2 linked regions of the Drosophila melanogaster genome follow. The protein of the gene in region 2 interacts with the protein of the main gene of each other region in a pairwise test. Each region holds a gene or a part of one and is shown on either strand. Other genes may lie near its edges.

What was found.
Region 1: the proteins of Syx8 (region 2) and Vti1b interact in a two-hybrid assay, tested with the Drosophila melanogaster proteins (one large-scale study listed by BioGRID).

What each region holds. Positions count from the first base shown.
Region 1 is NT_033777.3:18,398,062-18,400,957, reverse strand, and holds Vti1b (vesicle transport through interaction with t-SNAREs 1b), read right to left. Parts: upstream 1,250-2,896; 5' UTR 1,167-1,249; coding exon 1,008-1,166; intron 948-1,007; coding exon 738-947; 3' UTR 619-737; downstream 1-618. Other genes in the region: Wdr37 (WD repeat domain 37), read left to right, coding at 1-131.
Region 2 is NT_037436.4:16,585,608-16,589,057, forward strand, and holds Syx8 (syntaxin 8), read right to left. Parts: upstream 1,451-3,450; 5' UTR 1,372-1,450; coding exon 834-1,371; intron 781-833; coding exon 620-780; 3' UTR 501-619; downstream 1-500. Other genes in the region: UQCR-C2 (Ubiquinol-cytochrome c reductase core protein 2), read left to right, coding at 1-417; CG32163 (uncharacterized protein), read left to right, coding at 1,762-2,193; l(3)73Ah (lethal (3) 73Ah), read left to right, coding at 3,245-3,350, 3,413-3,450.

The DNA.
Region 1 (2,896 bases), on a different chromosome or scaffold from region 2:
GGCAGGGCCACCGACGGATGGTGTCGTCTGTAGCGTGGGCGGAGGAGCCGCTGCTGGACTGCGATCTCTTCTCCTGCGGCTTCGATCGCCGCGTTTTCGGCTGGTCCATCGTTCTTCCGAAGGACAATTGAAGGCAACTGAAGCGGAGAGCTGCTGCACCAAAGGAATGAGGAGGCGCAGCTCTGCGAAATCCCAAACATCTCTCGAACAAAGAAGCATCCCCAAAGCGATGCCCACATACTTACATATATGTAACCGTTTATCATAGATCAAGTATTATGCAGACATTGTTCAGGATGTTCTACTATCTCGTTGTCGCCCACTGAATGTAATTAACGTTGCTTTTTGCCAAATAGTCGTGGCATAGCGTGCTGCACGAACTACATATTATCATTGTTATAGCATACGTATGTATATGCGTTGGGACTGGGCTAAACTCTTCGGAGTGCAGAGCTTCCGATGTCCAGACCCGATTTTATCTGTGTTTTACTACCATAATACATATTATAGACGTCTAAGGCATTAACGCTTTAGCCAACATGAATAAACATAATCAACCACCCGATTCATCGCTGGGTATATCCTAAAACTGACCTTTTTGAATTGGAAGTGCATTTTAGTGGAGTATATACATTTATAAGCTTATTAACTAGGACAAAGAATTCGTAACGATTAATAGGTATATATAGTCCATCGCCTGTTTGGTGGTTACGACTTTGGAATAGAATGGCATTGGCTCACAGGTGAGCGAACTTCAGCACCAGCAAGCCGACGAGTATGCCCACCTCCAGAATGATAATCAGGATTAGGATGATCTTGTTGTAGAGCACCTCCCTGCTCAACTTCCGAATGATGACCCTCGATTTGGACAGATCCTGATCGGCGTCCTCCAGGCGGCGCGTGGTGCGTAGCAGCGACTCCCTCTGCTCGCCCAGTTCGCCGAGTACCTGTTGATGCGTAAGCGAGCATTAGTTAGCCCTGTTAATGGCTACTATCTGGGTAATTACCTCCGCCCCCATGTTCTCCGTTTCGATGGCAATCTGGTTGGATCGCTGGATACTGTCCGTCGTCCGCTGTAGCACGTCGTAGGTGCTGGCCGCGAGCTGCGCCTGCCTGCGCTCCTGGTCGCTGCCGCTGGGCAGCTGGCTATAGCCGGCGTAGGACATAATTTGGTAACAGCTTTTAATAAATTAAATGCGATGCAGTGGGAATATCAAAACAAAACAAAGGCAGAGTGTGGCCGTGGTGAGCGGTGCAGTGAAAACGCTATTTGGTAAGGTACTAACGCGTTGTGCGTGGAGCCACCTGTTAACACTTTATGCACTTTACAGCACTTAAAACAGTTGAAATTTAAAATGAAACTGTTACCAAATTAGCTTAATATTATTTTATATTCTAAATTCTAATTAAAAGTTTAAATTGTAAGAAGTGTTAGTTCAATTGGTTTTTTTTTGAGATTGGCTTCCTCACTATCAACAAGCACATCTAGTTACTGCAAAAATATCACATATTAATGGTGATTAATTGGGTGATCCTAAGAGTGATTAGGTTTTTGGAAACTGACCATTTTTTTGGTAGACACATGTAGCACTCGAGGATTTTGACTTTAGTACGGGTATTTGTCGATTTCTGATTTGCGATAACGGTCACCGATCATACATAGTTGGCATGCCCGCGCCGAGAGAGCCGCCTGAATTCACAGGGTGTGTGTGCTGAGTAACAGAGAGTGCGAGGCATTTCGAGGCGATCGCGAGATTTTCGAACCGAAGTCGCGGCAGCGAGTGCCAAATTTAAACGCAGTCGATCGCTGGCGGTGAGCAGACGTGTGCTGCGCTCCATTCAGATTCAGATTCGAATAAAGATACTCTCGCTCGGCAACAAACAAGTTCTAAATTTATCGCTCGCACTCGCGGGGAATCGAATCTGGTGTGTCTTTGACATAAAAAGCGTTTTCGGAGCTGTGAAGGTAAGCGAAAAACTCGAAAAAACTCGAAGCAACTGGAAAAACCCGGCGGGTTCGAGGTGTAAAAGCTGTGCCACGGGTTATCCACCCGTATATATCCCATATCCCCTGTAAACTAGCCATCCAAAGCACGTGCTTTGGCAGCAGGGAGTATGTGCAATTAAGCCCAATTTGAATGCACTTTGGCACGTGATGCTGGCTGCTGACAGCTACTGGTCGGAAAAGTGAGCTTACTGGGGGCTGCGGGGCACACCTGTCATGGGACCCATTGTGCAAACACCTGCCAGAAGTCGCAGCTAAAGTCAGAGCGGCAGATACGCGTAGCGCTATCTCTTTCGTAAGCCCCGAGTATCTCTGAGATACTCAGGTACGCACCTACTACGTTCGCAGTGTGTGTGTGTGTTAGTCGAACCCTTGTCATGTGAATATAATACTCTCCAGAGTATCTGTGAGTCGCGCTCTCTTTGCAAAGTCGCGAGTTTTCGAGTTTTATGCAATCATCATAATCATATGGGGGGGTTCTATCATGTGATCTTTTTCTCGGGGTCTCGGTTTCCAGAAGCCTTGCGTCCCCACAAAGATCTCCAGCTGGAACGGAAACCCTAAAAGCTGGGCTCGAGTAGTTGCGAATAGCGCACAATAAATACCAGTCGATTATGATTTATGGATCGCTCTATAAATTGTCCAATGGCACTTCCAATCGATCAATCAGTATTGCGCTGATTAGCCACAGTCGCAGACCCAGTTTATGAATGGGGAAAATCTGATCGATTCTAGAAATCTAGCAATTTCACATCTGAAGTATAGTATTTTGCCGAGTTGCACACAAGTGCTCCTGGTCGATCGTCCAGTTAATTAGCTATATAAAGCCAAAGCCCGGCCACTCGAGTCGCCGATCTCCAGTTACGTAACTCTATATGTATGGCTTATCGG
Region 2 (3,450 bases):
AACTGCGCCGGCGGCGTCGGAGCCTCTGTCAAGGCTGTGAATGCCAGCTACTCGGACGCTGGTCTGTTCGGTTTTGTGGTCTCCGCCGACTCCAAGGACATTGGCAAGACCGTGGAGTTCCTGGTGCGCGGCCTGAAGTCGGCTTCGGTGTCTGATAAGGATGTGGCCAGAGGCAAGGCTCTTCTGAAGGCGCGCATCATCTCGCGCTACTCGTCGGACGGTGGTCTAATTAAGGAGATCGGTCGCCAGGCGGCGCTCACCCGGAACGTGCTGGAGGCGGACGCCCTGCTTGGCGCAATCGATGGCATCTCGCAGTCGCAGGTCCAGGAGGCGGCCAAGAAGGTGGGCAGCTCCAAGCTGGCCGTCGGCGCCATCGGGCACCTGGCGAACGTGCCCTACGCCTCCGATTTGGCTTAAGTATATAAACACCTGTACATCTGTTAACCGTAATGTAACGACTAAATAAACCTGATCAAGGGGATCGATCCGCGAACGTAAATACTTATAAATCCTACTTTAATTGGTGTATACATAAATAATCAAACTTTGGGTTAACAGATAGACATTCCACGCAGGTCATAGTATAAAGTAGTATAACAACTGGAATGGATCGTGGGAGCTAGACGAAGACCACGACAATGATGGCGACGAACAAGGCTATGATGACGAGCCAGTAGCCCCAGGTACTGTCCCGCCGGTTAACCTGTCCAATGCTCTGTGTTTCCCGCTGCACACCCGTTTCCACACGGTCCATGGCATTGGCCAAGTTGTCAAGGATATCTACAAGGAGGTAGGGATTAGCATTGGTAGTGCAGGGACTGGGGAATACCCACTGTTCTGGTCCTCCACCTCGTTGCCCAGCTGTGTGGCCAGTTGGCGCTGTCTGGACAATGTGGCTGATAGAACCTCGAGTCCTTCGTTCTGCTGCGCCAGCATCTCGGTCTTTTTCTGCTTCAGAGCCTCCACATCCAAGGCGGTATTCCGCGAGGAATTGCTGTGACCTGGGCCGAGATCCTGATCCTGCCAAGCAGAACCGGATGCGGCCGGGACATTGGAGCGGCTACTGTTTGCGAACTTCTCGCGGATCTCGCGCAGCTGCGAAGTAAGTCTATCCCAGTCGATGCGCCGCTGTTGCAGCTCCTCCTCCGGGCTCGTCTCCCAGGTGATGGCGTTGTCCAGCACCACCTTGAGGTGCTTCATGTCCTTGGCCAGCTGCTCTATTCCCGTCTGAATGCTGCTTGTCAGTTGGACGAACTGGCTCGTCCTCGGATTGAGCTGCTGCCGCTGGTTGAGGTATACCAGCAGCTGATGCCGCAGTCGCTCGCAGCCCTCGTACTCGATGTCCCAGGAATCGTGATCCACCAGCGCCATTTCTCTGCTTTTGCTATGAGTAATTATCAAAAGCAGAAAACTACGCCTCCAGCAATCCAAGTAACAAAAACAAAAACAATAGCCGAGCAACAGCTGATGGCTGGTAGCAAAATAAGTAAGCGCGAGTACGGTCACATTGCCAGTAAGAAGGGATTCGGAAATAATCTTCAATGTTTGAACTGATTTAGATATTATACTTATGTAGCTGTAGATAAGCTGGAAAAATGCACCGCGATTAATCCCCAATCCTTTATCAATTCACCTCGCAGGTGCGTTGCTAGTGTGAACTATTTACTAAATAATTTAAGCTGGTCACTCGAAAATCGTCACTATGATGTGAAGTATGATTATTCGGCCCGAATTCCTGAAACTACTCACAAAAATTAAGAAATGCTTTCCAAATTGCTTCCAATTCTGATTCTGCAAGGTGGCCGAAGAACGTATTCCTTGTGCTCGAGAGATTACACCATCCCCACAAGTAACCACACCCTAACTGGTCAAATTTTAAAGGTTCCAAACCTAAATTCGCAGGAAAGATGTTTTGGTACGCACATTGTTGTCCGGCATAAGAGAGGTCGGTTCTACACCGACATTGGCGAGCTCCGGGCTGTATTGGTATACTCCATCAGGGACGGTGTGATGACCATCAACAGCACCAACGTCCCGGAGGAACTGGGCGGACATGGCATTGGGAAGCTACTGGCCAAGTCGGCACTGGACTACGCACTGTTGAATGGGCACTTCATTATTATAAGGTGTCGGTTTGTCCAGCACTACATCGACAAGTATGAGCCGCAATACGCCAAGTACATATTAAATTAGGGAACCGAAAACAAAACTTCAAAATTGTCGACACAATCAAACTGAACACAAATAAATCCCCCCACTATGCACATAGACACCATACATATAAACGTATATTTGCGTTCAGATTTGTTGAATTCCTTCGGTTTTTGAAAAATTACATGAAAATAATTTGAATTGGCTTATTTTTAAATTATTTCAAAATTTCTAAACCGAAAGGTAACAGATTATATTTAATGACGAAATTACGGTTTCTTATATAAGCTATTTTGTTATGCTTCTAAAAACAAATGTTTTATTACCTCTTTAAAATATGTAAACTAGTTTTCACAATATATTTTAAAAAATTGTTAATTTCCATATATACCACCTTGCATTGTGTGACCACCCTGAAATTAGCAAAGGGCGTTGCCAGACTCCGGCCACCCACGCACATACGATAGTTGGGACCGGCCCGGCGCGGTGGACAAAGTCACGGTATCGATATGGTGACACGATTCACCCACACATGCATGCATTGGGCTACGATGGCTGTGACACAAGGTGTGAAGAAATCACTGGGTTACAATGAGCGCTATTTATAAATATTTTGGAAGTATGCTGCAGGATTTCATAAAAGTAGTATGCAATTGGTATGCTTGATTCATATTGTTTAAAATTTGCTGTGCTACGTCAATTTTGTACTTGAAAAATATGGAGTCGTGACATGCCGCCAAAGCGGTGACTTGTCACGGTGAAATAATCGCGACTAGTAGCAGGTACGCAACTATCGCCCATCGCTAGCTCACACGTACACACAATTTATTTAGTCGTGATTTCTATTTTATTTGTTTCAAATTACAACCAAGAAGGAAACAAATCGCGACCAAAATCCGCTGGCCACAATGCCGAGTGCCTGTACAAGCGTGCGCGAGCATTCCCACTAATCGGAAGCGAGCGCATCCGCCGTTTTGAGCGTTTTCCGCGCGGGAGTGGGAAATCGAAAAGGCAAGGCAAGCCATCGGTCCGCTGCAAAATAGGGATAAATAGGATATAGTAACGTAGTTCAGCACACAATCGGGGGGCCAGCATGGAGCGGCGCGTGAAGCTGAAGACGATCAATCCGCACATAACGTGCAAGATCTGCGGCGGCTACTTCATCGATGCCACCACGGTGACGGAGTGTCTGCACACATGTGAGTTGGTCCGGCATGGAACACTACCTGCCCAATAACGTCAGTGTTTGTTGCAATTACAGTTTGCAAGAGTTGCCTGGTGAAGCACCTGGAGGAGAAG